3 linked regions of the Ovis aries genome follow. The protein of the gene in region 1 binds, or shares a complex with, the protein of each later gene. Links are inferred from orthologs where the notes say so. Each region holds a gene or a part of one and is shown in the gene's direction. Other genes may lie near its edges. The genes, in order: MED13, MED24 and MED25.

Region 1 (2,673 bases):
TTGTTATGCGCTTAAAAATTGTATAATGAATTAAACAAGAAGAATAGCCATGTTTATAGTGGCTCCCATTCATTACATAAGTCTAAAATATATTTCATCAAGGAAGAGACCTTGGGAAAATAAGGTAAAACCAACAGATTTTTTCCATTTGGCTGACCGATTACCTGTTACTTTTTAGGCCTCTTTGCACCTCCACGTGCCTTCAGTGCAATCTGACGAGCTGCTTCACAGTAAACACTCCCACCCACTGGACTCAAATCAGACTTCAGATGTCCTCAGGTACGATTCTTTTTACCATTAAGCTTGGAAAGAATATCATGTTGATCCTTTCATATTTTTCTCATTTGGGGCAGTAGTTTACAGTTGTGTTACCTTTGGATCCCTAGTTGAATTATTTATCATTCAGAATGAGTGCTTTCCTTTCTAATACATGTTATCTACCTCTGAGAACAATTTTAATGAAAATCAGTTTTCTTTAACCTCCATAAGACCCTCTATTTCATTTCATACTTTAACTTTTTGTTTGTGTGACTTTTAATCTTATATGCCATCTTCTAATTTGCTTCAAAAATTTACAATGCAGGTACATACATGACTTACTTAGTTTACTTGCTTTTCAGGTTTGTTTTGGAACAGTACAATGCACTCTCCTGGCTAACCTGTGACCCTGCAATCCAGGACAGACGCTCATGTCTCCCAATTCATTTTGTGGTGCTGAATCAGTTATATAACTTTATCATGAATATGCTGTGATCTTCATTTGATGGAACTGTGCAAGAAAAGAACAAGGAAAAAGATTTCGCTGCAAGATTAAGTTACAGTTATCTTCTCAGTGAAAGTCATTTGTGATGGGGTCTAATTCTTATTACTTCAACAAATATTGTTTTGACTTACGGGGAGGGGGCGATAACCCTGTTATTTTTCATTGACTATACTGAACTCTTTAGGATGATGACTGATCATACACAACGTATTATAACATTTTCGTAGCAAAATTAACCTTTTTTTTTCCAGTCACAGTATTTGTGAAAAGTAATGAGCCATAGTACCCAGTCATGTTAAATGAATATTAAAAGCATGGAGAAGGAAACATGAGGAACAATGAATTTCAACATATGGCTTCAGAACATCAAGATGTTCTTGTATTGGATTATAGTATCTAGTATTCAAAAATGCCTGCATCTCTTATTTATTGTAAGTTTTTAAATGTATAAATTGTCTTATATTTCTTAACCTCTTTTATAAAAATTTTCCTAGAAGGTTTATACTGCCTTCTTGCTTTAAAGCAATTGGTCTAAAATACATGTAATCGTCTTAATTAAAAAGTTGCAGTAGGGTCGCTTTTAGAGTATTATTTTTTTGTAAGGGGGTGGGTGGGACAGTAAATTTGTATTGTCTTGATGTACAGTTTAATGGGGATAGAGGGGAAATAATGCCCATACCATTGTGTGTGGAGGATTTACAGCTAAGCTGTAGTTGCAGAGTACATGTACAGTAATGAAGTTCACTGTGTTTATAAATTGAAAAGGTACCGGGTCTTACAACATTTTATATCGATCACACCTTTACAGAATAACATGATGGCAATATACAAGTGATATTGTTAGGTGGTTTAACTTAGAATAAAAATGAGAATTCTTCAGTTATATTTTGTACTATGGTTTAGGGCTATGACTAATATTTCAGGCCATTTCCAGTGAAAGAAACTTAGTTTTACAAGAAAAACATTTGCTACTGAATGCTTAAACTAATTTTGGTGTTTAATGTTACATGCTTAAAATTTTTTGTTTAACAGTGGCACATCTAGGCATGGGAGTATTATTAATTATGAAAATTATCTTCAGGATCTGCTATAGGTTGAAATTTAGCCCAGCTCTAGGCATTTTACAAATTATTTTAAGAGCAGTCACTCTTGATTGTTTGACTTTTTTTTTTAATTAAAGATTGGGAATGTGTGTGAGAGTATGCATATGTATGGGTGTGTGTGTGCAATCAAACTGTGGTGTAAATAGATCTCAGTGAATTCTGGTATTCAGACTATTCCACTAGTTAAAGAACCATTTTCTAAACTTAGCCTGTTTCCTTTTGCCTTTTTTATTTATTTAATTTTCTTGGTTTGGAGATGGCAGTCCCAAACACCAGAGTCTGTACTTTTCTATAACACAGCTCAGAAAAGGCAGGGCATATGCCAAGGAGGTTCTCACCTCCCTAAAGAAGGGACTTGAATTTTAGGGACTTTAATTCACCCCTTCCTTCAATACAGCTTTCCCTTTTCTTGTTTGCACATGCCAAGATAACTGCTTTTATGCAGCCTTTATCCCCTTAAAAAAATCCTTTCTACAGTGCTGCTCACAAGAGAGTCCAAGTTAGCCTCCTACCTGTGTAGCTGACTTGAATTCACAGTCGCCAAGTCTACCTGTCTTTCTTGGAAGCAGTCTAGCTAAATTCTGAATTTGTATGTTCACTAATTCTCTACAAGGACAAAATGGATTGTATTTACAAAACTGTAATTTGGTATGTTTTGTTATTTTTTTTTTAAACTGAAACTTGTTTTGTAAATACTATATGCTTAGCTTAAATATCACTTTCTTATGAAAAATATAACTTCTTCAAATTGTGTATATTAAAACATTAGCAAGTCTTGTTTTTCCTATAGAGAAAACACAATTGGTA
Region 2 (3,651 bases), about 29 Mb from region 1:
GCTCGTGTCAGTGGCTGGGCGCCTGCCCCCGGGGTGGTGGTGGGGGCAGGCTTGGGCCCTCTCCCTCAGCCCCGCCCACGCCCGCCCACCCCTGTGGTGATGTTTTCTCCCACCCCCATCCCCATGTAGGCAGATGAAGTGGCACGAAGCCTGTCTCAACATTTCAGCGGCCATCCTGGAAATCCTCAACGCCTGGGAGAATGGGGTGCTAGCCTTCGAGTCCATCCAGGTAGCTCCTCTTTTCCGCAGCCTTCCCTCTTCCCTAAGGCACAGCCAGTCTTTGATAGTTTGCTACATTTCATAAAAACAAAACGACCCTTCCTCCAGAAGCCCGTGTGTGGGCATTGGCCTCCCCTGTAGTCATAGTCTAAGCTACCCTCTCTCACCAGGTGACTTTGGGGAAATCAGACTTGTGGTGAAAAGAGGCTTGGACGTGGCCCCAGACCCCACTGCTCTGCTGAGTTGCTCACGGAGGCCGGGGAAAGTGATGGCCAGGGAGGGCGCGAGAGGCCCCAGTCACTCTTTTTCCCTCGCCCAGAAAATCACAGATAATATCAAGGGGAAGGTGTGCAGCCTGGCAGTGTGCGCTGTGGCCTGGCTCGTGGCGCACGTGCGGATGCTGGGACTGGACGAGCGAGAGAAGTCGCTGCAGATGATCCGCCAGCTGGCAGGGCCGCTGTACAGCGAGAACACGCTGCAGTTCTACAACGAGAGGTCGGTCCCTTCTTGAACTCTGCAGGTCTGTGGTGAGAAGTCAGCCCCTCCAGTAACCACTCTTCCTCCTCCTCTCTCTCCCTCTTTGGAAAAATCAGTCATTTATTTATGTAGCGTACAATGAATAAATGGGGTCTTCACTGCGGTGCGCAGGCTTTCTCTAGCGGCGGCGGGCAGGCGCCACTCTCTGGTTGTGGCGTGTGGGTTTCTCACTGCGGTGGCTTCTTGTGTGGCGGCACACACGGACTTGGTCGCTCAAGACACGTGGAATCTTCCCACACTAGGGGTCAAACCCGTGTCCCCTGTACTGGCAGGTGGGTTCTTAACCACTGCACCACCAGGGAAGTTACCCCTCTTCTCATACCTCCCCAGACATGCCACTTGCCTGCTCACTCACATTCTCAATCACATCTTCACTCACTGACTCAGCAGTGCTTGTATGTGTCTTCTTGCCGGCCGTGTTTATAATCCAGCATCTGCTGTGTGTGTGCCAAACTCCAGACCCCAAACGGCCAGGATTCCTGCCCTCGGAGAGCTTGAGTCCCAGGTGCTTGCTGGTGGGAACAGTCTTATCTCAGCTCTGTCCCTCTCTAGGAGCTGTAGAGCCCCTCTATAGTGTTTACAGGCTGTGGGCCTGTCCACCCCCTCCCTACCCTGCCCCCACCCCCTCTTCTGTGACTTTTTCTTCCCTGGACTTTTCAGAGACTTGGAAGACCTCCTTAGCAACTTCAGCTATGTTGAGTCAGGGGGTGTGGGTTTGTTTACCCATCCAGTAAGCTTTTTTAAAACATTGTGGTAAAAAAATACATGATCTAAAATTTACCACCTTAACCATTTTTAAGATAACAGCTCATTTTTATTTTTTTCTGACTCTGCTGAGCCTTTGTTGCTGCACGTGGGCTTTCTCTAGTTGTGGTGAGCTGGGACTACTCTTCATTGCAGTACACGGGCTTCTCATCGTGGTGGCCGATCGTGGTGGCCGCTCGTTGTGGCGTGTGGGCTGTATAGGGCGCTTGGGCTCAGCAGTTGTGACTCTCAGGCCCTAGAGTCTGGAGGCTTCAGTAGCTGTGGCACACAGGCTTTTTTACTCTGAGACATGTGGAATCTCCCCAGCCCAGGGATCGAACCTGTGTCCCCTATACTGGTGCGTGGATTCTCCACTGTACCACCAGGTCCAGCGGTAGGGTTCAGTAGTGTGTTAAGTATATTCACATTGTTGTGAAACATCTCTAGAATGTTTCCATCTTGTAGCTCTGAACCTGGACCAACAACACCCCTTCCTGTCTTTACCCCAGCCCCTGGACCCATTAAACACCACCCCTTTCTGTCCTTCCCCAAGCACCTGGCAACCGCCACCCTAGCTTCTGTTTCTGTGAATTTACTATATAAGTGAAATCATATCACGTTCATCTTTTGGTGGCGGGCATGTCTCACTTTGTGTAATGTTCCTCAGAGTTCAACCACACCGTTGCATGTGTCAGGACTTCTTGCTTTTTAAAGGCTGGATTATATTCCATTGTATGTATATGTTGTATTTTGCTTATCTGTTCCTCAGCTGATGGACACATGGGTTTCTTGCACTTCTTGGCTGTTGTGACTAGTGTTGCTATGAATGTGGGCTTGCACCAAACATTAAGTTATGAGTGATGACCCGCAAGGTAGCCATCAAAATGTCTTTTAAGGGAAAAAATGGAAACACAGCTGATATGAGATCGGGAGGGTCTTTTTCCCCTGCCTCCTTCTCTGTTCCTCCCCTCCTTCCTCATCCTCCTCCCACAAATCAGGGACTATTTTCTTTGATATAATTGATTGTGAGCACCCTAACTGCTGTCTGGGAAATCTATGGCTCCATCCTGCAGGTGGGAAAAGTGGCTATGAAAGTCGTGGTGACTTTCCCAGAGCCATGCAGTGTTCCCTGAACGGTTAGCTCTCAGGCCCAGACCTGCATTCACCATCAGAGACTCCTGTCATGAGGAAATTCCTGGATGTACTTACATTTGCCCAGCTACCAAGGGCCGGGAAGAGTCTTGTGGGGCAGCCCTTGGGCCCCTGTCCTGGAAGTAACAGTTTACTTTGGGAGGAAGCCAAGGCCGGGTGGGGAACCCCCCTCGAGCACAGCCTAGAGGGAAGTGATTGTATTTATCAATATTGACGCCAGAGGATTGGCAGGCCCGGGCTTGGAGGGTGGGGAAGTTGGAGGGAGAGACTGAGAGAGGAAAAAAAAGTATGAATATATTGCTGAAATGACCCGAGAGGCAAGTGCCCACCAACCCCCTGTAGGCTCGGTGCTGGCACAGGGCTGGTGGGGTCACATCTGCTCAGGGTTTGCAACTTCCTCTTGTCCCCTCCCTCCCTCAGCACAGAATGAGGCTGATTTCCCGGTTCCTGGTTCCGTAACCCTAATCCTGGGAGGAGTGGGGCCTGGGTGTTTCCGCCCCGACTCCCACCCCCTCTGTTGAACCTGTACCACTGGCCCTCCCCCGCCCCCCCCCAGGGTGGTGATCATGAGCTCCATCCTGGAGCACATGTGTGCGGACGTGCTGCAGCAGACCGCCACGCAGATTAAGTTTCCCTCCACGGGCATGGACACCATGCCCTACTGGAACCTGCTGCCCCCCAAGCGGCCCATCAAGGAGGTGCTGACGGACATATTTGCTAAGGTGCTGGAGAAGGGATGGGTGGACAGCCGCTCCATCCACATCTTCGACACCCTGCTGCACATGGGTGGTGTCTACTGGTTCTGCAACAACCTGATTAAGGTACGGGAGTGCTGGGGGTGGGCTGTGGGAGCAGGCATCCTCAGACTGCCAGAGACAGGCCTGATGAGACTGAGCTAGGTCTGGCTGGCTGGCTCCCCAACCCTCAGCCTGGCGAATCCCAGCTCAAGAAGGTTCCTTGGGCTCCAGAGGCCATTCCTCACCTGGGGCGCTCCTGGGC
Region 3 (4,374 bases), on another chromosome or scaffold:
TTTTATCTTCCTTATGATTTTATTAAAATTTAATTACACTAGCATACAAAAGAAGGGATCTGCTTTAGATTTAAAGGAATTTTAAGATGTCTAAACACAGGTTCAGTCATTGTTGGATCTTGATGCAAATAAAACAATTGTAAAAAGACATTTTGTGAGAACTGGGAAAATTTGATTATGGATTTAAGTGTTCGACAATACCAAGAAGTAAGAATTTTGTTAGAGATGTTAATGGCATAGTGGTTACCTGCAACTTTGGGGAGATGCCTATCCAGCAGGTAGAGGTAAAATGATACGATGTTGGGATTTGCTTTACAAGCGTTCAGCAAAGAAAATAAAAGGATCAATAAAGTACATGAGACAAAACAGTGATACTGCTGAGTGCAAAGCAATGCACCCTTTTACCTTGAAATATATTGACAAACTGCATTGGAGCAAGCTGTTTTGGTTTTCATCTCCACTAGATCACGTCTGAGCCTGCTCATTTCACCCAAACCTTCCCACCGTCATGGACTTATTTTTCCAGCATTAATTAACATGACAAAGATAAACTGACTTATCATTGGACCCTGTGTTAGCACTTACTAACTTGTGCATATGAGCGACTTTCAGTATGTTTTTGCGTACAGGAAAAACCTGCTTAGTTTCCTCCCCAATTAAAAAAAAAAAGTATTTCTGTTTTCCTAAGTTTGTATTGATCAGTAATACGTATTTGGGTAGTAAATTTCTGTCAACACATGTTACAGTGACTTCCGCAGTTTACCGTATCGTTTTCAGCTTGGTTTATGAAGTCTTCTGCGGACAAACAGCTCAATATTTTCCGTGCTCTGGCTTTGCTGTAATGATAAGAAACTCTTCCCCAGTCTTCAGGATTATACAGTGTTATGGTTTCATTTGTTATATTTACATTTTTAATCCACCTGGAATGTATTCATGTTCTAGGCCAGTTTCTGGCTCTTCTCCCAGAAAACAACTATCAGGTGTTGCTTAGCAACCTCCACTCGGGTTAGAGTTCGGCTTCTTTTAGTGGGGAAAAAACAGCTGCACTCCTTTCAGAGTTGATTGCCACCTTAAAGCGTTGCCTAGTAACCCCGTTTTAGACGTTGTGATTGGACCCTTCACACGACCCACCCACCCCCATCCCCCAAGAACCAGTAAGAACTTAACTAGAAACCTAATCTGTCTTTTTAGGAAAACAAGGGCAGCGTATGCGTTGCATAGCAACCAGGTCTCCCGGCCCTTCCATTGAAACCGGTGTCGGAAAGGTCGCCCCCCCCTCAAAAATGGCGTCTGACGCGCCGCTTTCAGTATATTTCGCCCTCGAAAGTTCTGCAAATAATTCAAGCTTCCACCTCTGGTCCCCGAAGGAGTTCTCTAGGTCCTTTTTGAGTCTTGCACACACTGGGAGCGAAGGAGGATGGAGATAAACCCACCCGCCCCGGGCGCCCCGCACAAACATGGCCGCCAGCGCGCCGCCAGCGCCGAGAGGCCGTCCCGCGCGGGGGCGCGCGCGGCGCAGGCGCACTTCCGCTCAGCCCGCGGTGTCTGAGGCGGCGGCGGCAGCGGCGGTGGCGGCGGTGGCGGCGACGGCGGCATCTGCGGCGCGGGGCATGGTCCCCGGGTCGGAGGGCCCGGCCCGCGCCGGGGGCCTCGTGGCTGACGTGGTGTTTGTAATTGAGGGCACGGCCAATCTGGGGCCCTACTTCGAGGGGCTCCGCAAGCACTACCTGCTCCCGGCCATAGAGTGAGTGCCGTTTCCGCGGCCCCAACCCCGCCCTCCGAGTTTAGTTTTCCACACTCTCTCCTCACCCCGACCTTTCACTTCCGACCCTCACAGGTATTTTAATGGCGGCCCTCCTGCCGAGACGGACTTCGGCGGAGACGTGAGTCTTGGAACTCTCGAGTTTGAGGGAAGATGGGAGTCCGGACTGGGTCTGCGGGAGGAGGGGGCGGTACCTGAACCCTGGGCCCGAGGTGGGAGGGCTCGGGTCCGGACTCCGGGGTCGGAGGCGGGAGGGGCTGGGGTTTGGACACCTGGGTCCGAGGGGCTGGGGTCGGGATTTGCGGGTCCGAGCGGGGAGGAGCTGGGGTCTGGACTCTGGTTTCCAGGAGAATGGGGCTCGGGTTCTGGGGCTGAGGGAGGAGGGACTGGGGTCCGGACTAATGGGTCCGAGAGGGGAGGAGGCTCAGGTCTTGGGTCCGAGGCGGGAAGGGCTCGGGTCCTGGGTCTGAGGTGGGAGTACCGGGGTCCGGACCCCCGGGTCCGAGGGAGGAGGGGCTGGGAGCTCCGATTCCCCTGAGGGAAAAAGGAGCTGGGTCCCAGATGAAAAGTTCTCCTGTCCTCCCCTCCCAGTATGGGGGCACCCAGTACAGCCTCGTGGTGTTCAACACGGTGGACTGCGCTCCAGAGTCCTACGTACAATGTCACGCTCCCACCAGCAGCGCCTATGAGTTTGTCACCTGGCTCGATGGCATTAAGTGAGCTCTTTTCTCGGCTTCCGGAAGGGTTGGGGGAACCTGGGAGGGACGGCAGAGGAATGGTGCTGCCGGATCCAGCCCCTCACATTGGTTGCTAAAAAGGGCTGCGATGGGGGTTGTGGTTTTGTCCCTAGGTCACTTCAGTGGTCGGTTCTGTATGCTCAGCTGGTGTTGCTGTCTGGCTTGGAAGTAGAAAGAATTTCCTGGTCAAGGAGGCCTGGGGAAGTCCAGCACCCGTCCTACTCCTCATATATTATTCTCCTTTCTGTCTGTTGCTTCTCTTGTCTACTCTAGCCCTTCTTTTTCCTACTAGGGGCACTGAAGCTTGAGCGCAAGAGGGGTGGGGCTAAGCCTCTGTGCTTTGGAGTCAATGTTGATAGTTCACACTGCAGGTGCAGACAGCCTGGGGCCACTTTTCAGCTCTACCACAACAGGACTGCCAGACCCACGAGTCCCTGTCCTCTGTGTCTAATAGAACTCATCTCTAAAAGGGGAACGGTAATAGTACTTATAGTCATCCTGTTACTTATCCAGTGTTGGGAAAACAGATTAAAGCTTAGTGACTTGGAAATTCTCTGATGGTCCAGCAGTTGGGACTCTGTGCTTCCACTGCAAGGGACATGGGTCTGATCCTTGGTGGGGAAACTAAGATCCCACATGCTGAGGGGCACAGCCAAAAAAAAAAAAAAAAATTAATTTAGTGGCTTGTTTCCTTAAGTAAGGAATTCAGGGGTGGCTTTGATGGATGGTTCTCACTCACGGTCTCTTGTGGGATTTCAGTCAGATGAGCTGGGACCGCAGTCATCCAACTGTTGGATCGGGACCAGAGGATCCATTTCCAAGGTGGCTAACCCTGTGGCTGTTGGCCAGAGGCCAACTTGCTAGCTGTTCCTTGCTAGCTGTTATTCCTAAGATATCTCTCCATGGGGCTGCTTGAGTGTCCTCCCAACATGGCAGTTGGCCTTCCTCAGCCTGAGCAATCCAACAGAAAGAGCAGAAGGAGACTACAAAGATTTTTATAATCAAATCTTAGAAGTCACACCATCATTTGTGTCACATTCTGTTTAGTATACAAGTCAGTTCTGTTCAGTGTTGGAGGGGGCATGAATACCAGGAGATGGTGCTCAGTGGAGATCTAGTTCCGGTGACACTATAGGGGACTTTGGGAATCAAACGAGTTGATGACTGTTGAGAACAGTGCCTGACACGATTAAGCGCTCCCTCAGCTTTTGCTGTTCTTTTGTGTTTTGGTTTCTTGGTCTGCAGAGGGATAACGGTAGTCCATATCAGCACTCAGAGAAGGGTCACAGAAGCTAATCTTCATACTGTGTTCAGCTCAGGGTCTGGTCAGAGTCCATTAAACAACCGGATTCGTGGGCTGCTGTTATCTGCAGCAAATGTTTGTTGAACACTTGGTTTGTTTCAGGCTTCACGTGCTAGACCAGGCACTGCACATTCACTTTCCCCCCTTATGGTTGTTAGAATTCATGGTCAGGGCAGAGCAGGGTTTCTCAACCTCAGCACTGTTGACCCTTTGGGCCAGATGATTATTGTATGTGTGTTGTGGAGGGGTGGGGGGCATTCCTGTGTGTTGTAAGGAGTTCAGTAGCATCCTTGGCTCCTTCCCCCCCAATGCCAGTGGTCTCCTCCCTCCCCAGTGTGATAAACAATAAAAACAAAGATGTCTCCAGACATTGTCAGATGTCCCTTTGGGGACAGAATCCGCCCCAGTCGAGAACCTCTGGAACAGATTGTGGTGAGACTTGAATAATGTGGAATGGGGGCTCCTTGAGGTTCAAGTCCAAGTCTGATGTCCCTCAAGTTTCTAGCACCCAGCACAGGGCCTGGCATGAAAGAGCCCCAAGGAAAACTTTGTGGAACAAGCGAATGAACGAA

What was found.
Region 2: MED13 (region 1) and MED24 share a complex: the UniProt entries of both Homo sapiens proteins name them as parts of the mediator complex. The link is inferred for Ovis aries from reciprocal best matches to the Homo sapiens genes MED13 and MED24.
Region 3: MED13 (region 1) and MED25 share a complex: the UniProt entries of both Homo sapiens proteins name them as parts of the mediator complex. The link is inferred for Ovis aries from reciprocal best matches to the Homo sapiens genes MED13 and MED25.

The regions. Positions count from the first base shown.
Region 1 is NC_056064.1:10,833,111-10,835,783, forward strand, and holds part of MED13 (mediator of RNA polymerase II transcription subunit 13), read left to right. Parts: intron 1-178; coding exon 179-279; intron 280-620; coding exon 621-753; 3' UTR 754-2,673. UniProt on the Homo sapiens protein: Component of the Mediator complex, a coactivator involved in the regulated transcription of nearly all RNA polymerase II-dependent genes.
Region 2 is NC_056064.1:40,087,892-40,091,542, reverse strand, and holds part of MED24 (mediator of RNA polymerase II transcription subunit 24), read left to right. Parts: coding exon 1-6; intron 7-129; coding exon 130-229; intron 230-538; coding exon 539-714; intron 715-3,208; coding exon 3,209-3,473; intron 3,474-3,651. UniProt on the Homo sapiens protein: Component of the Mediator complex, a coactivator involved in the regulated transcription of nearly all RNA polymerase II-dependent genes.
Region 3 is NC_056067.1:55,910,180-55,914,553, forward strand, and holds the start of MED25 (mediator of RNA polymerase II transcription subunit 25), read left to right. Parts: upstream 1-1,515; 5' UTR 1,516-1,610; coding exon 1,611-1,744; intron 1,745-1,837; coding exon 1,838-1,883; intron 1,884-2,353; coding exon 2,354-2,478; intron 2,479-4,374. UniProt on the Homo sapiens protein: Component of the Mediator complex, a coactivator involved in the regulated transcription of nearly all RNA polymerase II-dependent genes.